Kluyveromyces lactis: one gene and its partners. The protein of the gene in region 1 purifies or fractionates together with the protein of each later gene. This does not show direct contact. Links are inferred from orthologs where the notes say so. Each region holds a gene or a part of one and is shown on either strand. Other genes may lie near its edges. The genes, in order: SPT15, TAF4, TAF3, KLLA0_D06831g, SPT7, TAF12 and TAF7.

Region 1 (2,696 bases):
TTCTGTGAGCTTATCAGTAATGTTAATGTCCTTGAAGATTAAAACTAAGAGCTCCAAGAGTATTTTCCATATTTTAAGTTTGACATGAGCTGTGTCCATTTCACTAAAATAAACCCACATATCAGCTGGTATGCTGATCCCTTCATCGAGACAGTAATTAATAAACGAACACATCACAACGAAATGGAATTGTTCATGGTTTTTGATCACGAACAGAATATCTCTATAATCAGCCAACTTCCTTTCATTGCCTGGAATCAACTGCAATCTAAAATATTGAAACAGCACTTTCCAAAGAGACGTATCGAGCTTTGATATAAGCTTGGATAGATTTCGTAGTGCAATCTTATTATGACTTGGATCATTTTTATACAGCGGGATCTTACAAAGAAGAACGTAATCCACATACATCTTCTCATTGACCCATGTTGTACTTTGCAACCTCTCTCTGAGTGCTGAAAAATATTGCTCTGCGAGATCAATGCGATGAGTCTCTTCAATCAATAACGTAACAAGATCGTTAGTGATCTGAAAATCTTGCTCTAATGAAAGCTGGAAACCGCCATCCTTCAAATATCGCAGACATCGTATAGCCTGATTTATCAATGTATAATACTGACGAAGTTCCAATTCAGTTTCAATTTCCGTAACAACATCATGTGCAGTCAAAGTGTACTGTTTCGAGAGATGATATATCAAATCTAACTGCTGTGCTTTTCTGCTCAAGGACTTTTGATCAAAAGAGATCGGAACGTTTAGCAGCTCATCTTTGAAGGTGTCCATAGCTAGTATTGTGTATCATACATCAATCGGAAGCTATTTTCAGCATGGGCATATGCTGTTCTTGAGACACGTTAATTGACGTGTATTATTCTAGGGCAAAATGGTTATATGAAACTTTGAAATATATAAGGGAACCAGGATCCACGACAAAAAGAAGACAATAAGTAAACCACCGATGTACTCAGATCGACATGGTATAACTTCATCAAATAACAGGTTTGGAAATGACATGATTGAACTGTTTACAAGTCAAAGAAGTCTACTCTGGTGATTCATCATCATACTAATGAAAATTGATCATGTGACCTAGCTTCATCAGATTTCTTTCCCGCTTACAACTTTTTAACATAGGAAACCAAATATAAATCGTAGAACAAGTAGGAAAAACCAGTCAACACACAAAGATTGCAGTTTTAAGTCGTGTATTTCTGAGGCAGCCCTTTAAGTTATATCAATACTTGTATACTATCTGCTACTCCTACACGATCTATTTTTTTTGAAGACAGTTTTCTTCTTTGGTTTTCAAGACTTTCAATTGTTTGGTGAAATACTTCAAGAAGCCATCTTTCAGCGTTCGTTTATTATCAACTGTTCCGAGTATATCGTATCAAGTTAAACTCTACTACCGCAGCTTAGCTTAGAAGAAGATGTCAGAAGAAAATAGAATGAAACAGTTCCAAGAGGAAAACAAGATAGTATTTGATCCAAGTACACGATCAGTATGGGAAACTCAAGAAAAACAAGAACATGAATCTTTACCTGGAACAGATGCTAATGCGGAAGACGCAGATAAAGGTTCTGCCACTTCGGGAATCATACCAACCCTACAGAATATTGTGGCCACTGTGAATTTGGACTGTAGGTTGGATCTAAAGACGGTAGCATTACACGCTCGTAATGCAGAATACAATCCAAAGCGTTTTGCGGCTGTGATTATGCGTATCAGAGAACCGAAGACTACTGCATTGATTTTCGCATCTGGTAAGATGGTTGTTACTGGTGCTAAGAGTGAGGATGATTCCAAGTTGGCTAGTAGAAAATATGCCAGAATTATTCAAAAGATTGGGTTCAGTGCCAAGTTTACTGATTTCAAGATCCAAAATATTGTCGGCTCATGTGACGTGAAGTTCCCAATCCGTTTAGAAGGTTTAGCATTCAGTCACGGTACTTTCTCTTCATACGAACCAGAGTTATTCCCTGGTCTTATCTATAGAATGGTGAAACCTAAGATTGTGTTACTAATTTTCGTTTCCGGCAAGATTGTCTTAACTGGTGCCAAACAAAGAGAAGAAATCTATCAAGCGTTTGAAGCTATCTACCCTGTGTTGAGTGAATTCAGGAAGCTATGATGTTTTATTGGATGGTACTATAAAAATTCATTTTTTTATTTTATTAAACAATGCACTAATTCGATTCTCGGAGGTTTTGTCTCGTCTTCTGCAAGAAAACCCTTTGTTCCTTCTATCTTTCCTTCCTTATTGTCTTTTCATATCCATTCTGCTATAATAGAAGTCTTTATTATTGGCACCTTACTCTATGTATCATATAGTTCATACACAAATTTAACGACTAATAGCCATCGGTAAATGGTTTCCAGCTTGAGTTTGAAATGGATGAGGAATTCTGTCTTAGATAATGTTACAAAGTTAATTACATTTCAACAATATATTGAAGTTTAATGCTAGTATTTTTGGATCGTTAAGGGCAACATAAAACGATTAGCGGTATCCTTTATTTTCCAACTTGTTCTCCAACTGTTGTCTCAACAGGCGTTCTTGTTCTAGTTCTTTTTCGTATCTTAACTGAGTATCAGCTAAGATTCGTTTAAATTCTTGCTTCATCATTGAGAAAGATTGATGGTTAGAAGCAGATGTTGAGGATTTGATGTCACTGGATTCGGAAATTGCTTGTGA
Region 2 (3,016 bases), on another chromosome or scaffold:
ATGCACCAATATCTTCTGGAACATCCCCAGCGTCACCGATAGCTTCAGAAAAGATTCTCCATCCTTGTTTGTTCTCTGCTACGAGCGTTAGACCCCAACCTGGACTTTTACCTGAGTTTTCACCTCTCCATACATCTGCAGTTATATTTACTTCACAACTAGCAGATTTAAGAACTTTTTTCGCACCATCAATCATTCTATTTACAAGGGAGGGACTGACTCTTGTGGAGTATGAAACACCTCTTATACTTGAAATCATTGTTTTATCCAAGGCGTGCATTGTAATCGGTTGTGCAATCAATGAATCCACAACAAGGTGTACTTCACCACCACCTAAAGGAGGTGAACCTCTCTTCAAAGTATGTAATGCACATTCCCTGACGCCAAATTTTTCCATAATCGGCATCAACCCCCATTTTATCGCATCTATTCCAGCATCATTATGTGAAGATGTTATACCACGGAATAGGATTGAGAATTTCTTCTTTGAGAAGGGGGCTAAATACAACATTGGCTCGGCAAAATAGCCCACAGGTTTACTGTTCGGACATTGATGTGTGTATGAACCACCAGTAATTATTCCTGGTCTGAAGATGACGGTGGTACCAGTGTATGAAATTTCTATTGAACTACCATTCGTTACCGCTTCCATCAATCTTAGAAAAGAGACTTCGTAATCTTTTAAACCCGGATTTAGGTCATCAGAACGTATCTTTTCTATCTTTATAGCTTTTCCTGACAATGTAGCCATTACTACTCGTAAACGAAAGTTCCGTGAACCTTCAAAGGTTACGTATCTGGAAGAGGATGACATGTCCAATTTGTCTGTTTGTCTGTCCTACTTCGTGAGGAATAAATTTCCTGATAAATCTCTTTAGAGTTTTTAATACAGAAAGTGACCTTCTATCGGACGCTAATGGAATGGTTGATGGAAGTTAACTGAAACCTTTCGATATTGGTTTTGTGTTGTATGTTCAGTTAGGCGATGAGATGAGATGAGATACGCTTTTGACAAATTTTTTGCAAGGAAAAGAAATGAGCTTCGTTACCCGGATTATGTGATCTTTCAATCTTGAAAAAATCAAAGCCAGCAAACAATAGCATCTAAATGAAGAAAGAGGTAGGAACTAGATAGAACTTTTTAGCATAATGTTTAATACTCGCACGTTTTTTTATCTTTGTTGAAATCATTAAGGTTGTACGTTTTTCGCTGAAACTGGATTTTAATTGATAGGCCGCATTTGGACCTGTTTTTAAAGATTGACTTATTCTTTTCATAGTTTATTTGCCTGCATTTTTGGGACAAGTGCAATAGGTGTCCTCAAGTATCCAATACGATTCTTTTTACCCCCGTGTTTCACCAGAGAAAACTATCACTATTGGTCTAATTAGTATAAAATACGATGGCAAAATCGCCCAAGAGAAAGAATTCTGAACCGGAAGATTTATCTTCAAATAAACGTTCCAAATCATTCGAATTTGGCAAAGTAGAGAACGGGCTGGAACCCAGTGGCTCAGATTTTGGCAGTGATCTGCCTACGCCATTCGATACTATGGTTACAGAACAGCCATTAGCTCTACCTAAAGCATCATCTCCAACTACAAACCTAGCATCTCCGCGAAACTCAAGTACGCCAAATTTGAAGACGACGAGTACGACAAGCAAACAATCACAGAAAGCAGAACAGAAGAAGAATGCCGGGGGTTCAACAGGTAGTACGACTGCCTCAACTACAAAACCACAGCAAAGTGATCCAGACAAGCTTAGTGATGCTTTGTTATCGGCCGGTGTTGATATAAGAGAGGAAGAGGCATTGCTAAGTAGCACAGTTGCTAGAACAAAAGCAACCGGTATTTCAGCAAATAACCAGGTCCCATCTCATCCTCCATTCCTACATCCTAAGAACATTTCAGATTTCATGAAAAGAATTGCATCAGAACAAAACTTTCATCAAGATTTCAATAAAAACACTGATATACTCGGATTAATGTCTACTGCATGTGAACTTTACATGAGGGACGTGATAACGAACTCTTTAATCCTATCCATACATAGACGGAAAGGTGTTAAACTAAACACGGGAAGGAGGAGTGAAGTGAGTCGTTCTTTGAGGGATTTAGCATTAAGACAAAAGACTCAAGAAGAAAGAAGAGTACAGAGAAGAATAGCACTCGGTTTAGAAAAACAAACAACGGATGCTAGGTTAGATACTGAAGAGACTCAATATCGTGCATCAAATGCAACTGCCAATTTGATGATTGCAGGGGGTAACAAAAAAAAATATAGTTGGTTGACCGCTGGATCCAAGTCCAGCTCGACAGACCTAAAAAATCAGGGAAATGTTTCATCTGCTGTTGCAGCAAGGGGTGAAATGGGTATCAAATATAGAGAAGCAAGAGAAGAACCTGGCATCGTTATGAGGGACCTTCTTTTAGCTTTAGAAAATAGGCGAGTAGGAGTTAATAATGTTATCACTAAAGGATATGCTAGAATCAGAGACTAGCATTTCCAGTTACTTTGAGGAATAATATGAGTTTCCGAGATGTTCTGTAGTATGCATACTTATATAATATAAACCTTTCGATAAATAACATAGAGACTCATACTTGCATGCGAGATTACTTTTCCTTTTCTACCTGACATGTCGCATATTTAATATTTAAAGATAGTTTTCATTTTTTAGTATCTAAATACTCAAAATCACGTCAGAGACAAATAAAGTTTAAAAAAAATAGAGTTTATTAAACCATTACTTCACACGACGCTTTAATAAGTACACTAATGATCGACGCAATTCGGTACCATTTATCGTTTGTATCTATTATATTACTTTTTAACGAATCATATCAAGATACTTTTATATACTCCAGTCTTGTCAATGATTTGGTCATTGGTCAAAGGAGATCATCTAGAGAAATTGGAAACGAAGGAGGTACAATGACGAATTCATAAGAACGAATCTGCATGAACATCTGAAAACTCAATGCATATATATTTTTTTGGTTTTAGTTTGAT
Region 3 (3,026 bases), on another chromosome or scaffold:
CAAGCAAATTCTTATCATTCAGAGATATGTTTGACCAATCGAATAGTTTTCACGCTGTCATATTAAAATCAACTAATTAGCATATAAAGTGAAAGTACTGTATTTCATATTTATATTTATCTTAGTTTCATCTTTATTAGAAGAGGCAAAGACATTCACACAGTATTTACATATCGATGGTAAACATATGTGTCTGATTATAAAAGAAATCTGGAAAATGAGGAGAAGCTTACAAGCCCTGCTGTAATCTTTCAGCCAATTTACTCTTGGCAAAGCCCCACGCGCTTAGCAAACCCTTTTCATTCAATTCTATATTCAATGGGATATCCTTTGAAGGCGGTTTCGTCACTCTAGAGGCAATTGTGGCTGGATCAGTTTCTAAGATAATACCATCATCAATCAATTCATCAATTGCTAGAACCACCATGTCATAATGTTCCTGAACACTCCTCTTGTCAATACCTGTATCCAATATCAATTCTAGGGAATCTTTGAACCCGTTGAATGCTTCTTGCAAAACAATTTCGTTTTCGTCGATTGCACCGATCAGATATATCGAAACATCGACATATTCTCTGTAAATAACTAATAGATCGTCTGATATCATAATGTCTGAATTCTGCCCATGAGTTTTAGCAAATAGGTTAGATTCGAACTCTTTTTGCTTCTTTAAGCTGGATGCAAGAGAATCTGCAGAAATTTCTTCGTGTGGTGGATGGAAGTATTTCGAGTAAAGTCTTCTTCCTTCTCCATCCAAAATCAACACAGCTTTAACTGTGTATAGAGATAAGTTAACCATGTTGTTTATGTTTTTCTTCTTGGTTACTTCCAGGGTATGCTATTCGTGTTATTCAGTACTGATGCAATGGTTTACTGTCTCAGGAGGGAAGTGCTGGTTTGGCGGTACGCGAAAATTCCAAATTTGCAGTTGACAAGATATAGGACAAATAGGAACTGCGCTCGAGAGAGGCAGAATTCAGCTCTCAACCATTGCCCATTCCTGTAATTAGAATCAGTAGCCTTCTTTGGATGTCTTGTAAAGCTGTCCATGTAAAAAGCTCCATGGCAATGAAAGCCTGTTGATATCATTGAATACGGATTTATGCTCCAGTAACGCCAAACAGCAAGTGTTTGATCGAATCTCTTATCACGTGATTTGTTTCCGGGTAATGGAAAACACAGAAGGAACTTGTAACTTTTACTGTCTGATAAGTAGGTTAGCCATGCAAATACTATACATTAACGAAAACTGTCTATTGTGGGGTTCGTTCGATGCAGAATGCAACCAGTACTGAGCTTCGAGGACACTGATTGATTTACTAAGCAGTATTTACTTTGATTTATTTATCATAAGTTAAATACCGGCCAATTGCAAAGACTTTGCAGTATTTTGTATATTCTACGCTCTAAGCATTGAGCAAGCAAAGTGTTATTGCTTTACTCAGCTCCTCACAATTATGACCACTGATGAAAGTTTTTACTTTTCGCTGCTGCGAATTTCAATGATACACCTTTTAAGGGCACATGGCTTCGATAGAGCCAAAATGGGGACAGTTAATCTTTTTACTGATTTATATGTGAGATATCTAGAACTGATGATTCAAGAAATACGGAAACTTACTCTGGATCGCCGTGATTTAGATGAAGAAGTGTCCCTTCAAGATATTACCCAAGGAATGCTCAATATCGGCGTATTTAAACCAATGAACCTACTGGATGTTTACGATGAAAACCCGTCCGTGGCAGGCGATGAAGGTATGCAACAGTTTAAAAGATGGTTACTTCAAGATCCCGCAACAACAGAAGCACGAGTTATCAGTACCCCAAGTCCAGACCTGTTGAAAGTTGGTGATAAAACTAGTAAACCATTGTCAATGATTCCGGAGTATATCAACCAGCTGAATACATCGGACAAAAAGCCTAACGATGGAGATGATGAGACAGAATTGGTGGAAGCAATGATAAACAACGGGGATATGGATGACTGGATACAATTCATGTTGACATCACAAAAATTAGAACTTGCGAAGAGGAAGTCGGGGAAACTTCCTCAAGATCTCATTTCGTTACCGTCAATTCCTGGATTAAAATACTCTAAACTAAGCCGAAGTCGACCTATCATTACCAATTCATGCATTCCAGTTGGAATCGAAATTAACGAAGATGAAGAAGGAAAAGAGGAAAGTACTGAAGACGCAGCAGAGCAAATAGTTCTGAAAAGACTCATCTCAAAGTTACCTATCGGTAACCCAAATAACAAGTTAGAAAACATAGTTGTTTCATATGAAGATGAGAATATTGACGATTTACTTGAACCCCTCCATACGGAGGAAGATCAGCAAGACTACACCGATATTGATAAAACGGATTATGATTTTGAGACCTCTGGAACGGGAGGCTTAACTTTAGGCAATGTAGTTACCACAGAGTTAGACGAAATGGAGGACATGCAAAATACATTTGAAAGAAGGGCATCTTTGGATTTTGGACACGCATACGATATATAAATATAATTTGTTTAACACAAAATTAGTTCATGTTTACGACAAAACAATCGCACTCTCACTCGATTGTTTTCAAATCAATCACATGTAACAATCTTTTGGTTCCGATTTTGTCTATTCTACTATACATCTATATACAACTATCAAATTGATAAATGGGCTAGGGCGTTGCAGTGCATATCAGGTAAAAGTGATTTATAATCTCCTCTTGTTTTTAAATCTACCATTGGATTTTTTACCAATTCTTCCCTTTTCAGCTGGTTTTGTTTTTGGTAGCTTGGTTTCCTGTTCATCATCACTGAAATCATCCTCATTGCCAGCTCTGGATCCTTTTTTGAATTTTAGTCTGTTCTTTTGACCCTTTACTGGACCTTGTTTGACAGCATCTAAGTATGCATTAACACCACTGGTAATAGCCTCTAACGGATCTTCATTGTTATTTTCTCCTCTTCTCCTATCGTTTTTCATAACCAACTTACCTTCTGCATCAAAGCTGAACACTTCATCATCGACAATCCTTCT
Region 4 (2,671 bases), on another chromosome or scaffold:
AGGAGCATCTGGTAAAATAATTTGTTGAGTTTTGACTCTTATTGTTCGAGGAACGTAAGGCTGATATGTTTGTAAACAACCACTTGTTAGTGACAATGCTGCTAGTGACAAACGTTATGGCAATATTAGATTAAAACATACCATTACAAAATCTTTTTCCATTATGTTAAGTGTTGACTTGATGCCAATACAGTTTTCTATCGACGGCTTGCGGACCGTTGTGCTACAACAATAGTAAAACATAATGGAGTATTGTGATATGCTATCATGTAGAATTTGATTCAAACTATTATTTTTTTCAGAGATAAGCTCATCGGTAGGAGGTCGACAATAATTAAAGTCAAGTCCAAGGGCGAATTCAATCAAATATTTCAGTGCAATTTTCCCTAGGCTTGATTTGTCTATTCATTATAGTGTTCATTTGGTACTTTTTCTGCAAGCAGTGCCTGTTAGTGGAGATGTAAGTTATAAAATACAACTACATAATTGTAATGGTTAAATTAGATAAACATGTGAGAGGTCCGGTTACTCGGTGTTTTTCTTGACGTATTCCCATAAACTCTTCAATAGACTTTCAGGCAAGCTATATAAATCAATAACGAACTCACCTTCTTCGATATTGTTCGTAATATTCATTTCTGGAGTTTTGTTATCAGTTATCATTTGTACTACTCCAACCAATGTATCCTCGTTTAGTTTTGTTAAGCCAAATGCTAACTTTTCCAAGTTCACAGAGCCTTTCACTGTTGAAGCGGAGGCGGTCTTGGCTTTTTTCGTTTTTACATCACCATTGACAGTAGATGCTTTTCTCTTGTCACCTGGAGTGGTGGCAGCTGTCGCTGTTGCATTTGGAGTTGCTGCTGCTGTTGATGCTACTTCATCGACAGGTCCACTTTTCTCTAGTTCTGCTCTTAGAAGAGGCTTATTGGTAGGAACTTGGATTACATGATCAATTTCATAGGCATCTTTCATGAAATGTAGGTCGTGAGTTATCTTCTTCTCGCCCCCTTTCTCAAGAAGATGCGCACTTATCAACAATTCAAAGCCACCCCAGCCTTGTTCTTCAATTCTAAAAGGAGGTTCCGTGAATGTTCTATGAGGGTTTGCAAAAGTTGGATGCAAATGATACACTACCTTATCAAATATCGTGGCTGGAATTTCGTTTCCTTGTTCATCCAAAAGAACTAATTCAATGGTCCATTGACGCATAGGAAAGTTTTCTACTGGAGGTGGTACATCCGGTAGGACAGATTGCTTGGTCTTAATTCTGACCGTTCTCTTCACAGTCTGTTTCCGAAATATTGAATAAAAGGTCTGTTAGTAAACTCATTGTGAAAAGAAACCTTCTAAAAACGAACTGAAGAAGCTTTTCAGTCTTTTTTAATCATTACATACCGACACCATCGTTGGTTGATTTGATTGGGGGTTATAAGCACGTCTAATGTTTCTCTTCTGGATATTTTCGTACTTGTAATTGCCATTATTTATCTCTGAATTTGAAATTTAGTCAATTCATGTTTTCAATGTTTGGTGAAATTTAGAGGAAGTACTACAATAAGGTGGAGGAAGGCAGTTGAAGATGCATGCAAGAGTTACGATTATGCTATTGTGGAGAGAGCAAAAGACTATCATGTCCATATTCTCCCCACTTAGTAGTTACCAGAGAGTATTGGTTACTATGTTTTATCACGTGATCTGGCAAAGCATCCTAGCGAACAACATGGCTTTATCAGAAGTCTTTAGATAGAGAATTGTTCACGTGAGTCAAATCCATTGCTGCGGCTTGATATTGCATAATTGTAAGTACATTTATTTACGGGATTGATGTGCCTACTTAATCACAAGGGCGTCATTCATCGGAGTTTTTTTTTTAATGAATGACTCTGTACAAGTTTGGTTTTAGCTAGGTGATTTATTGGAACACTTTCTTAAATTGAGAGCTAATACTGGACCTGATAGCAGCTGGAGATGCCTTCAATTCGCCTGGTAGTGTTTTCCAGTCAATTTTTCCGAAGACCTGCTTCAATTGTATAGATGGCTCTGATTCTTTTAGATCTGTTAAAATCTGCACAACACGAGCGTCTACTTCCTCCCTAGAAGCAACAGGCAAGGCAGTCTGATAATTCTCGAGGATCTTTATCTCATTGGCTTCTTTCTCTACCAAATCTTCTCTCTTATTTTTAACAAATTCAGCGATGGAGTCCTTCCTTTGCGAGATTAACTTGGCGTACACATCATACAATACAAATTCATCTAGATCCTTATCCTTACTGTCAATTTCCTTGTTCTTAATTGTAGATAGTACACCTCTAATGGTTGTCTTTCTTAGGTTGTCTTTTGCAAGCATTGCCTTCTTCAAGTCTTGTTTTAATGCAGCGATCCCATCAATGTAGCCTTGAGAACTGGCAAATCTAACAAAGGTTCTGGTCGTTGCAGTAGCGCGAACGCTTGGGATAACACATCTTAACATCTTTGTATTCGCTAATGATTTGGATGCTTGTCTTGAAGATTGAACCAAACGATCAAGATTATAGAAGGTCTATTAAATGTAACGTTTCTTTGTATTTGTTCATAGGTGCCGGTGTCTTTTGGGTTACTTGAATTTTCATAGAAATTATCATCAAGATGCAATTTTATTACCGTTGATCGGTTAAGTAAAAAAAAATATTCA
Region 5 (3,994 bases), about 220 kb from region 1:
TTCCTATCAATCCATTTCCCAACAGATTACCCCTTCAAACCACCAAAGATCTCTTTCACCACTAAGATCTACCACCCAAATATCAACGCTAATGGTAACATCTGTCTAGATATCCTAAAAGATCAATGGTCTCCAGCTTTAACTATCTCTAAGGTCTTGTTGTCCATTTGTTCTCTTCTAACAGACGCTAACCCTGATGATCCTTTGGTCCCTGAAATCGCTCATTTGTATAAGACCGATAGAGCTAAGTACGAGGCTACTGCTAGAGAATGGACTAAGAAGTATGCTATTTGAAAGAAATATAACAAAAAAAAAAGAAGAATGAACCGAAGAAAAGAATACTACAAAAGGACAGGGTTCGGCGGAAAGTAATATCATCTTAATCCGACTAAAAAAATACTCAAACCTTCCACCATTGTATATCCTACCCCTTTTTGTTATCGGTACTTTCAACTCACATCGTTTTGGACTTCTTCTGACACAATTCTCAACTTCAAGCTTTCAAGGTTTAAAGTATTAGAAAGAATAGTATATATATTAACGCACCAATTTTCTTTATATTATATTGTGTATGTGCTCATGGTACATGTAGGTATATATACCGTATAATTTTGATATATTTCATTTCCATTAGACGACTGTTTCCGACAGGTAAGCTAGAACCATTGGTTATAATTATACAAGATTTTTCAAGACTTTTCAAGACTGGTTTTTGTCCACAGACATTGGTTTCTGAATGTGCCAATTTGGTCACAATTATAGAAATGGAGAGACATACGCCTGATCATTCTAGCTAGTGAAAATCAATTTATCAATGCTTACCTAGGTACTAAAAACCTACCACAACTAGTCCTATATATATAGATACAACTGGGTAGAGCTGTTGGATACTCAACTCTTGTATGTTAAGGCTAAGCGCCGCTGAAACGAATAAGCCGTATGACTGTCCCAATATCACTTTATACGTTTTGATGTTTTTTGACATTTCGTGAATTTTGGAAAACACAGACAATCGGTGCAACTGATGGACAAACAAGATTCGGACCATACACTCAAAAGTCGTGCCGTTTACAGCTTGTATCAGTAAAACGAGAGGCAAGCGAGCTGGTAGTGAAGGAATTGATTCAGAATTTTCCTTCAAAACTACTCTTTATTTACTCTAGTGGTTCTTTCTGCGGAAAAAGTTGACTGTCCATGATTACAAGTTACCAGCGGTCCGATGCCGCCGCAATACTTCGAACCATCCAGAAGTTATTCGCAGATGATGTATTTAAAAAGCACCTCAATCCGAGTCAGTTACTTTTATTGAAGTACTTGTTGAGTCTACCAGACCAAGAATCAAAGACACTTATATGGGATGCGTTTCTCTCCGGCAAGTTGGAACTATTTGTAGAACTGAATACAACTCTTAATGCAACTTCCGACAAAGGTGCCACTAATGATTTGGTAGCGGCTACCAGATTACCATCATTATCAACACAACAACAACCTCAAGCTAGTTCTGGACTCTCGAGAACTGGCACTCCTTTACATGATTCGACTGATAACCAAAGTGTTGACGATGACGACAGTGATATGATCGATTTGGAACAATTGAAGGCCCAGCTAGATGGACTGGATTTTATAGGAAATTTATCTATGAAAGTCAGGTACGTTGTATGGGAACATGGACTCACTCTCCTTGAGCCAGAAACATCCTCAGAATACCTTCTACTTGACACGGATAATGATAGCGCTGTAATAGAGGATGGAAGTAATAATACTCTTATAGATCAAAGTGCGGTTCCCAACTCTTCCACGCTTCCTACAAATGACACAGCACCCTTGACTATGAAAGAAGTGAGCAAGAATAGCGAAAACAAAGAAGGCTCTGATGAAGATGATAACTATGATGAAGATGATGATGACGACGACGAGGATAATTACGATGATGCTGAAGAAGATCCTCAAAAGATAGAAAAAAATGATACAGAAAATGGAAAAATCTCTCATCCTAATGATCTTGATGAGAAACCCAAAGTGTCAGATGAAACTGAATCGCCAATTTACGAGCAACTTGATAACGGACTCATAAGACTGCATTTCATCATCTCAAAGGAAACTTTGAACGAACTTCCATCTGTAAATACCTACGATATCATCGGTAACTTTCACAAAATATATCATCTCTTTGACAATGATAAAGAGACCACTATGAGGCGTTTAAAACTTCAGGAAAATGATCAAATGCTAGAAAGCTCAAGGAAAAGGTCTCACGAACAGATTGAAGACGAAGAAGAGGATGACTCAGGGAACCCTAGCATATCTCATCATAAGTCTGCGGCAGATAAGAAGATCAATACTAAGACTAAAGCAGATATCCAAATGGACCTCGGTGTCGTAAATCTGTCATTAAGGCATTTGCTCAAATCGGTACAGGAAAATAAAAGTAAGCTAGATATTTCAGATTACGAACTTAAACATTTATTAATGGATGTTAGAATGAACAGATCTAAATGGGCTTCTGAAGATAAAATTGGACAAGAAGAATTATACGATGCATGCGAGAAGGTGGTACTGGAACTCAGAAATTTCACAGAGCATTCTACTGCATTTCTTAACAAAGTCAGCAAGAGAGAAGCTCCAAACTATTACCAAATAATTAAAAAACCAATGGATTTGAACACTGTGCTGAAGAAGCTCAAAACTTTTCAGTATAAATCTAAACATGAGTTTGTTGATGATATTATGTTAATATGGAGAAACTGCCTCACGTATAACTCGGATCCTAAGCATTTCTTGAGAGCCCATGCAATTGCGATGCAGAAGAAATCTCAACAACTAGTACCACTAATACCAGATATAACAATCCGTGATAGAGCGCAAGTTGAAAAAGAACTAGAAGATATAGACGCCGAGAGCAACATTAAAGACGATGAAGAGGATGCTGGTTCAGGTCGTAAGGGTATTCAGAGACGTGGTGTTCAAAAGGTTATTGACGATGAAGAAGAAGAAATGGAAGAGAACCATCCTGGAGGTAAAAAAACACGAGCAACTGATGCTGAACGGAATCAACAACAATCCACCAATAAAACAGTAAGCAGTGACAAAACACCTTCCACTAACGAAGCTGAACAAACGCCAGAAGTTGGCATAGTTTCTGCAGAGGGGAGAGGCTCCAAAGTGGCTCAATCTTCGACTAATAACGAATCTACTGAACCAGCAGTTGAAAGTAAAGCAGTGTCAACTGTTGAAAAAAACCAAGAACATGAGGATGCAGAAGAAGAGGAAGAGGAAGAGGATGAAGATGAAGAAGATAATGCCGCTGGAATGATGCTTCTTGAACGAGATGACGATAAGGACGATCTGGAATTGTCCACATGGAAAACACTTACAGCCAAAGCCCGTGCTGAAATTTGTTTGAAAAGATCACAATTGTTCAACGAACACAAAATTAATTCCGAATCTGATGCCCTCTTGAAAAATCCTTCTAAATTAAAGAATTTTGATCAGTTCTTCGAGGAGTATAAGCAACAGAAAGAAGCAGAATTTGCAAGACAAAAATTACAAGAACAGTCAATGATGAAAAACGGTTTTGGGGCAATAATGAACCAAGCAGATAGCAGTGTATCGAATTTTTCTGACACGAACGTTAAATCACAAGATGCCGAAAGTTCCTTGACTAAAGAATCGAATGAAATCACTCTCGAAGATTCTTCGTTATTGACAGAGTACAACATCACTAATTATATCCCGGACTTGGCATATACAGGTATTGGGAAAGAACAATTAGATAAAGCTGAGGAAGCTATGGTTCAAAAAATTATGAAGGAAGGAAAAGTAATGAAGAGCTCTTTGTTGAATACTGTCGATAAGGGGTTGAGTCCAAAAATGAACACGAATATCCAGTTGATACATGAGATTAGGCATATATGTCATAAAATTTCTTTGATTAGAGCACTACAAAATCCAAATAAACCCAAAAATTCACAACAACCGCTAAGGTTCAAAGAAT
Region 6 (3,384 bases), on another chromosome or scaffold:
TAATTAGCTTGCCAGACGTTGAGTTCGTAGCTGGAAGATAGATCGACTGATTTGAAGTAGAAATTAACCCAAAAAGACCACTTTGTTCAAAACGTTGATACGATTTAACCATTGTGTATCAATTTAAACTCCACACTGCGGATAATAGTAGCAATAACTGATATCTTACACAGGGTTATAGTATATAAGTTTTGTTATACTTGTTCTTGAACAGCATTATGCGATGAGATGAGATGACCTTCCATAGTTTTTAACGTTTTGGAAAATTTTGAAAAATACAACTTGAAGCCATGAAAAAGAAAAGGGTGGTTTATACATATATGAGACAGGCAGAATAGGACAAAGAGTATTAAGAATCAGTTTCCCTGGACTTGATTATGCATTGTTGTAGGTACTCATCCACTTCTCCATTTTCAATATTTTGAGGAATTGTTACATTAATAGATATATGATATATGATGTATAATATATGCATCAAATTAAGTCTGTTTGAATGAATGAACTTGTTTAAACAGTGGTAATTTATCCATTTCACTTCTTTTCGGGATGTGTACGTGCAGTTTTATTGTTATTGATTGCATTTACCATTTGATTGTACGAAGGGGTTGGATTCCATTTCTTGGTGCTACGGATTTCATCGTTGGCAAACCCTGGGATTCTGATATTCCAATTACGTTCCAGATGCATTTGGATGTCTCTTACGTCGAGTGAATCGGATTTTCTATGTTTTGCCAATTTACAGGCGAAATTCGTAACATTAGTAATGAAATCGTCTGCTAGATCGAGTAATAGCTCTTCCACATCACCATCAATGGTGGTTTCACCATCACCTTCGTCTATACCCACCGTTTTGACGAGTTCACGGAGCTTTCTTTTAGACATCACACGCTCAGTATCGACCTCATATGGCGGTAGTTTGGTCATAACAGGTGTAGTTAGCGCTGGCGCGTTCATACCACTACCGCCTGTTATCGTAGGTCTGTTGCTTCTGTATGACACTGAAACTGTTGGGGATGCGGTGACATTTTCACTTATTGGTATCGATGGGTTTGGTTGCTTGAAGATTGGTGGTCTTGTATTGCTTTGTGCTGTTTGATTTGCAGCTGCATTCACCGTTGTCACCTGCATTGGGGACGATTTGTCAGAAGCTGTGTTATTTGGTGCGGCAGCTGCTGAGCTCGGGTTTGCGTTTGTTGCAGTTGCAGTAGTTGCAGCGGTCTTTTGAATTGGTATATTTTGTCTTTGCGCCATAGCATTTGGAGGACTACCACTCGAAGCTTTATTCAAACTTGTTGGAATTGGTGTACCGGTGTTGGTTCCTGGAGTAGAAACACCAGCCTGAGGTCCCGGTGTACCTGCATTTGCAGCTACTGTACCCTGTGACTTAGCAGCATTAGCTTTTTGTTGCTGTGCTTGTAGATATCTTCTTAAGTCAGCATTAGTTTGAGAACACTCAATGTAAAACTTTCTTCTGTCCTCTTGATATTTCTGTTGTAATGTCGAATACTGGGCACTCAATGCCCTGATTTTCATTAATAATTCATTCCTGTTAACCTCTAATTGCTGCACCGATAGACTGTTACCTCGTCTATTCCTGATCTCTTGGTCCAAAACACTAATATTTCTCTTCAAAAAGTTGAATTCTCCCTTGATATTCTGACCGTCATCCTCATACTTTTGAACCAATCTATTGTAAGCTTCACGCTGTTGAGGAGTTAATAAGACCTTTATGTTATTCGTCACATTATTGGAACTGGCGGTAGCTTGTTGTTGCTGCTGCTGTTGCTGCTGCTGTTGCTGCTGATCCATGGATTTAACATTCGTGGCATTATTATTTACAGCTCCCTGTGCTCCAGCCTGCGCTTGGGCCTGCTGCTGCCTCTGTTTACTGTAAGCCTCGTACAAAGCCTTAATACGGGCCGCTTGTCTCAATAGCTCTTTCCCTTCCTTGGTATCTACACCAATTCGCTTAGCTTCGTTAACTAACGATTTTAGTCTATCCGCCAATTGCTGCATAGAAGCTGGCGTGAGGTTCTGCAGCTGTACATTACCTGCTTGGCCTGACATTGTCCGTATCTTGGTTCGTAATCCGAAATGCACACCGCAAGCCCACTTTAAGTGTCGAAATACCCTCGTGCTGGCCTTCTTTGCCCCCGTTTTGCCCTTGCTTTAACCTCGCGGCAACTACTTTCGATTGTTATTCACTTGTTGATCTTTGAAATATTTTTGAATTTTGATGCTGAAAGGAATAGGAAGACAAGTGTTACCCTGACAACATACACAATGCGTATATATGAATATATGTATCTATGAATATGTTCATAAGCGATATAGGTGTTTGCGCTGCATCACAGCTTGTCATTTTCTTCCAAGAATTCGTAATATTCGTCTATAAGTAGCGGCCAAGCAGCCATTTCATCATAGTTTTGTTTTAAACTTTCGTCATTGGGGTATTGTTCAATGAACTTATAGAACATCAACCATATATCGTTTGAGATGTTCTGTTTCCTTGGATCCGAGTCGTCAGAATTGATGAATTCAAGCCATGAATTAAGTCTCTCCTTGGAGATTTTCAACGCATATTTATTGTCTTTAAAGAAAATATTCCAGTATTCTATTGCGACATCTTTAGGTAAATGACGAGATCCCTCGTCTGTATTCAATGGGAAAGTGTAGGAATAGATTGATTTGAAATAATCTTTGTCCGTCTCCAGTCTCTCTTCTAGCGTATGTAAATAGGCTTTCATCTTTCTTAAAGTGTCGCAACATAAATCTGACCAGGCATTTAGGAATTGTTCTCGAGATACTGGTTTTGTTAAATCGTCGATGCATAGCATTTGAGAAAGACATAGCGTGATTGGGTCCTCTATCGATATACCGAGGTCTTCAATAAACCGTATTAGCCCAGAAGAGTCCCATTCTGTTGCCGAAACGCCATTCGAGTACTTCTCAAAGATAGCCACTAAACTGGGATTGTAAGATTGACGCATACCTCCAATGGTATCCACATTATCATAATAATCGTTCAAAGCGTACTCGACACGCCCTCCATTCTTTCGAAGGTATTCCTGTGCAACAGAGTACGTGCATCCTGTGAGGTTCATGAACTCTTTCTCCTATTTTTCCAAATGATTATTTGATTAGCATTTGTTAGTAAAGGTGTCATTCACCTGACCAGAGGGTAGAGGCATAGTAAAAAACATACCATTATAAAAACACAATACGATGAAATTTCTGAAGGGTTGTTATCCACGAGTAAATGATCGCTTGCTCTGGCGTTTTGTCGCGAGTAGATTGCTTTCTTCTTTACCCTAAAACTCGAAACGAATATGAAGTAAAACATGTAATTTCACTTAAAATGAACTTGTCTGTATATTTAAAATA
Region 7 (4,125 bases), on another chromosome or scaffold:
TGGATCCAAACGAGAAATGAACCAATCACGAGCCCCATGCCCCAAAATTTCAATCATCTCTTCTACTGGTTTGGATTTAAGGATCATTAACTTTTGCGTTACGAAATCCCAATGGTCCAAATCTATGCTGTGATCCCTAGGGTTGATTTCAACAAGTGAAAGATCGTCTGGACTTTTATTATCTGAGGGAATTATCACGGGATCAAACTTCTCTATGCAATCTGGAAGGAACTTTTTTACTGAGTTTTCAGAAGTCGCAACGAGCTTTGTATTAGTAGCTAATTCGGATAGAAGAGTAAGCCTGTTTCTGTCTTTGTTTGAAAATGGTGCGAATAATTTCCTTGCAGTTTGCTGAGGTATCCAAACTAACATCTTGACCAGACCAAATCTTTGCATCCAATTCTGGTTCGCTATACACTGCAAATATTGCACGTATAGCTGTTCACCCTTTTTATTGGTCAAATTGGCAGCGATCAAGAATTCATTGTGAATATGATCTCTTTTCTGCATGCTAGGAGTAAGGACTCTGTCTTCATTTGTCATTTCTAAAAATGTCTCCCATTTATATGGATTTTTATTGTAATTAACCATCGATGGGTGATCCTTCAAAGTTGCTTGATACAACTCCACAAATTTCAATCGATCCTCTAACAGGACATGCTTCTTTGGTTTCAGTCTTTCATTAAGTATGACTGATTGAATCAAAGGCCCGGCGTATATATCCAGTATTTGTAAGCTTTCAGACTTGTAGTATGATTCTAAATTCAACTTGTCTAATATTTGGTTTATTACCTTGGGGTTTTTCTCAAATTGACTTCCATAACTGGTATGAATCTTATTTGCTAGTGGTAGAACCGACTTCAGAAACGAACTCTTGGTCATGATTAGGAAAAATTCTGTAGTGTATTTGACAATAGAGAACGGATATTGTATATTGGAGCACAGAACTCATATAGAAGGTGCCAGTTCCATCCAATGAGTGCAGATCTGCTGTGACTTGTTTACAACTTTCATCTGGACAAAATGAAGCGATGAGTTGAAATATGAGCTTTTCCATTTTTCAATTCGGAATTTTATAGTGATGATGACGCTGGTGTTATAAAGACACCTAGGATAGTTGCGAACTATAAGCTATGATCATCAGAAGTTTCAAACTATTTTAAGTAGTTACTCCCTGATAGTATACAGTAGTACTTTAACATGACTTGCAATGCATTAAGCCAAATTCAGCGTTAGTCTGGACGTTTCCACGTGATCAAAACTCGCTTCAAATTACATAATGGAGGAAATCGTGAAATTGGAAATAATGTTCGACGGAAAATGTTTAGCTATCTAGATGTACAGTGAAAGTAAAATGAATGGTTGACCCAATTGGTGTGACACATACGACAAGGGGTCTCTCAAAAGACAGTAAACATTCAGTTTTAGTACAGTATCCCACAATGGGTCCGATAATCAGAATTAACAAACCCAAGGAGCCTGAATCAGGCGGTGGAACGGAACCTAAACTAAAAAAGATCAAGTTAAAGACTGGAGGAAGCAGTTCCAGCAGCAATAATTCCAAGCCTGCACCAAAGCTTAAAATCAAACTGAAAAAGCGTGATAATCAAGAGGATAAAGATATCAGCAATAATAATAATGTGGGCACTTCGAAGGGAAGCTCGCGGCCCATGAAGTTAAAAATCAATCTAAAAAAACGGGAAGATTCACATCCACAATTAGTGCCGCACTCCCAATCGCATCAGCAGCAGCAGCAGCGCAAAAGTACGAGTGTTGTCAAGACTCCTAAGTTCAGAATCAAACCTGTACGAGTTCCCGGTGAAGGGTACGATTCTGAGGCCAGTGATGTAGAGGATGATCCGCTAATCGAGGAAGGTATAATTCTAAGAGTATTACCAGATTTGAGTGCAGAATTCGTTAAAAACTCTATAGAGAGTGGTGATTACTCTGATGTCAGTATCAAATGGAAGGGTGAGAGACACGCGGTTGTGAAAGTGAATGGGGTGCAATATGGTGCTGTATTAGTCAACTTGCCAAGTATAATCGAAGTTAACAAGAGTGTTGACAGAAAGAACTTATTGAAGACGTTTGACGTTAGTCAGATGTTAATATGTGTTCGTACAGTGAATAAGGAAGAAGAAGTGTTTTCTTTGCAAGTAAGCGATACGGAAGATCTTACTAAGAAACATTTTGAAGAGTATCAGAAGGAAATTACCGAGCAACGGAAACAGCAACTCAGAGGGTACAATGGCGGCCCATTGACTGATGCTGAAAGTAAAAACATCGAACAAATCATAAACAAGCGTTACGATTATAAGCATGGTATCACCCCTCCTTTGTATAATGCTCGCAACCGTCGCTTCAGACATAGGATGGGACCAACTGCCTTTGATTATGTGGAACGTACTGTTGAAAAATTATTGAAATTAGATGCTGAAGCTGAAGAGTTCGGGTACGAGCTAGTTAATGAGGATGCAATTCAACAGCAAAGGTCTACAAGTGCAGCAGATCTTGCACATTATCAAAAGGCTGGTGAGCATATGGATGAAACATCTTCTGTTGGCTACAGCCAAGAGATCAAACCACATCATGTTACAGGTGCCGCGGAAGAAGATGAGGAAGAGGATCATGAAGAAGATCTTGAATTGGAATTGGAACAAGCTCTACAAACAGAAACTACTGATGGTTCTATACCGGCAAGCATGGTTAATGGACCGGCTGGAGCAGCGATGTCTACAGATACTGGCAGTGTTGTAAGACCAGGACAACTTCTTGAGGAGACCGGTGATGACGTTGAACAAGATAACGGTGATGATGAAGACGAAGAGGAGGAGGACGAAGAGGAAGAAGAGGAGGAAGAAGAGGATGAAGAAGAGGAGGATGAAGAGAACGGTGCTGATGGATTATCCGGATCAGTTACAACAGGAACAACTAAGTCACGTGTCTCAGACAACGATGGTGCTAACGAAGAAGAGCAACACAGAGAATTATTACTTGATGAATTGAGGGAACTAGAAAGTACGTTAGAATTAAACCGGAATAAAGCCAGTAGGACTACGAATCCGTTGTTAAAGACAAGATTCTTAGAAAGTATCAAGAAGCTTGAGAAAGAAGTTGAATTGAAACGAAAACAGTTAGGAGAACCAGTTGTTGTAGACGATGCAGGAAATGTACAGACAGCTCAAGACATCTCAGAAAACGTACCCGATACTGAAGCCGGTGCAGTATCGAACAAGGCCGCAATCAGAAATGGCAGCGTTAGTAGCGGTGGTAGTGGCGTAACCGGATCGGCATCAATTCCAAACAATGCTACGATTACCAATGGAGTGGAAAACATTGGTACCGAAGGGAATCTTTATGAGGAGGAGGATGAACTAGAAGAAGAGGAAGAAGAGGAGGAGGAGGAAGAGGAGGGAGAAGAAGAGGAAGAAGAAGAGGAAGAGGAACAGGAAGAGCAACGGCCGGACGAAGAACCGCAACAAGGACAAGAAGCAAGACAAGGTACTGAAGAACTTGATCAAGATGACATGGATATGATGCTTCTTTTCGGAGCGGATAACGATTAGGTTTGAACTGAGAGAAAAGAAACCACTAAAAGAAAAACAAAAACAGAAAAAAAATCAATACCCGAAGAGACAATAAGAGATACGTGATGATTTAGCATGTTATCTGAGTTTGGAATAGCATTACAGCTTCCCATGCTCTACAAGGGTGAACGATATGACTGAATGCCTGAACGAATGCGTGAATGAGTTGTGTAATCTGAATGTATAACTGAATTTATCTAGAAGCATTTTTTTTTTTTTTAAATTCTTTAAAGGGAAGTAGAAACAAGAATCAAGACAGGCAAGGAAGTAATGGATGGAGATCAATGGGAAACACGGGGCAACAACAAGAGGAAAATTACGAATGCGAACCTCTTCTCGTTTGCCGAAGCCTCTTGACGACGGCACACAAAGGGAAAGAGGCAGCAGGTGTTAAGAGGCACCTCACTTCGCCGTTTCTTTTTACTGCCTACAGAGCGGCTGAAAGAAAAAGGCCCTGCCATGTACATCTCAAAAAGGTGAATTGCGCAAAAGAAGAGCCAAAGCCCAATGATTGACCCAGTGAAGACATAACATTTAT

The links.
Region 2: the proteins of SPT15 (region 1) and TAF4 purify together in Saccharomyces cerevisiae (affinity purification with western blotting; 7 studies listed by BioGRID, with this or other methods). This does not show direct contact. The link is inferred for Kluyveromyces lactis from reciprocal best matches to the Saccharomyces cerevisiae genes SPT15 and TAF4.
Region 3: the proteins of SPT15 (region 1) and TAF3 purify together in Saccharomyces cerevisiae (affinity purification with mass spectrometry; 3 studies listed by BioGRID, with this or other methods). This does not show direct contact. The link is inferred for Kluyveromyces lactis from reciprocal best matches to the Saccharomyces cerevisiae genes SPT15 and TAF3.
Region 4: the proteins of SPT15 (region 1) and KLLA0_D06831g purify together in Saccharomyces cerevisiae (affinity purification with western blotting; 7 studies listed by BioGRID, with this or other methods). This does not show direct contact. The link is inferred for Kluyveromyces lactis from reciprocal best matches to the Saccharomyces cerevisiae genes SPT15 and TAF14.
Region 5: the proteins of SPT15 (region 1) and SPT7 purify together in Saccharomyces cerevisiae (affinity purification with western blotting; 3 studies listed by BioGRID, with this or other methods). This does not show direct contact. The link is inferred for Kluyveromyces lactis from reciprocal best matches to the Saccharomyces cerevisiae genes SPT15 and SPT7.
Region 6: the proteins of SPT15 (region 1) and TAF12 purify together in Saccharomyces cerevisiae (affinity purification with mass spectrometry; 11 studies listed by BioGRID, with this or other methods). This does not show direct contact. The link is inferred for Kluyveromyces lactis from reciprocal best matches to the Saccharomyces cerevisiae genes SPT15 and TAF12.
Region 7: the proteins of SPT15 (region 1) and TAF7 purify together in Saccharomyces cerevisiae (affinity purification with mass spectrometry; 5 studies listed by BioGRID, with this or other methods). This does not show direct contact. The link is inferred for Kluyveromyces lactis from reciprocal best matches to the Saccharomyces cerevisiae genes SPT15 and TAF7.

Annotation. Positions count from the first base shown.
Region 1 is NC_006041.1:892,707-895,402, reverse strand, and holds SPT15 (TATA-binding protein), read left to right. Parts: upstream 1-1,430; coding exon 1,431-2,132; downstream 2,133-2,696. Other genes in the region: cohesin-loading factor complex subunit SCC4, read right to left, coding at 1-783; PEA2 (Pea2p), read right to left, coding at 2,502-2,696. UniProt on the Saccharomyces cerevisiae protein: General transcription factor that functions at the core of the DNA-binding general transcription factor complex TFIID. Binding of TFIID to a promoter (with or without TATA element) is the initial step in preinitiation complex (PIC) formation.
Region 2 is NC_006039.1:526,704-529,719, reverse strand, and holds TAF4 (Taf4p), read left to right. Parts: upstream 1-1,403; coding exon 1,404-2,504; downstream 2,505-3,016. Other genes in the region: RCL1 (rRNA-processing endoribonuclease), read right to left, coding at 1-814. UniProt on the Saccharomyces cerevisiae protein: Functions as a component of the DNA-binding general transcription factor complex TFIID. Binding of TFIID to a promoter (with or without TATA element) is the initial step in pre-initiation complex (PIC) formation.
Region 3 is NC_006042.1:2,524,106-2,527,131, reverse strand, and holds TAF3 (Taf3p), read left to right. Parts: upstream 1-1,457; coding exon 1,458-2,507; downstream 2,508-3,026. Other genes in the region: RET3 (coatomer subunit zeta), read right to left, coding at 230-799; mRNA-binding protein RRP12, read right to left, coding at 2,700-3,026. UniProt on the Saccharomyces cerevisiae protein: Functions as a component of the DNA-binding general transcription factor complex TFIID. Binding of TFIID to a promoter (with or without TATA element) is the initial step in pre-initiation complex (PIC) formation.
Region 4 is NC_006040.1:588,309-590,979, forward strand, and holds KLLA0_D06831g (uncharacterized protein), read right to left. Parts: upstream 1,405-2,671; coding exon 1,396-1,404; intron 1,288-1,395; coding exon 526-1,287; downstream 1-525. Other genes in the region: AIM41 (Aim41p), read right to left, coding at 1,913-2,470. UniProt on the Saccharomyces cerevisiae protein: Functions as a component of the DNA-binding general transcription factor complex TFIID, the RNA polymerase II associated general transcription factor complex TFIIF, and the chromatin-remodeling complex SWI/SNF.
Region 5 is NC_006041.1:1,117,448-1,121,441, forward strand, and holds the start of SPT7 (SAGA histone acetyltransferase complex subunit SPT7), read left to right. Parts: upstream 1-1,194; coding exon 1,195-3,994. Other genes in the region: KLLA0_E12563g (uncharacterized protein), read left to right, coding at 1-294. UniProt on the Saccharomyces cerevisiae protein: Component of the transcription coactivator SAGA complex. SAGA acts as a general cofactor required for essentially all RNA polymerase II transcription. At the promoters, SAGA is required for transcription pre-initiation complex (PIC) recruitment.
Region 6 is NC_006040.1:1,375,612-1,378,995, reverse strand, and holds TAF12 (Taf12p), read right to left. Parts: upstream 2,068-3,384; coding exon 532-2,067; downstream 1-531. Other genes in the region: snoRNA-binding rRNA-processing protein DIP2, read right to left, coding at 1-112; NEDD8 ligase DCN1, read right to left, coding at 2,349-3,116, 3,206-3,343. UniProt on the Saccharomyces cerevisiae protein: Functions as a component of both the DNA-binding general transcription initiation factor complex TFIID and the transcription coactivator SAGA complex.
Region 7 is NC_006038.1:736,609-740,733, forward strand, and holds TAF7 (TATA-binding protein-associated factor TAF7), read left to right. Parts: upstream 1-1,358; coding exon 1,359-3,566; downstream 3,567-4,125. Other genes in the region: MTF1 (RNA polymerase specificity factor), read right to left, coding at 1-882.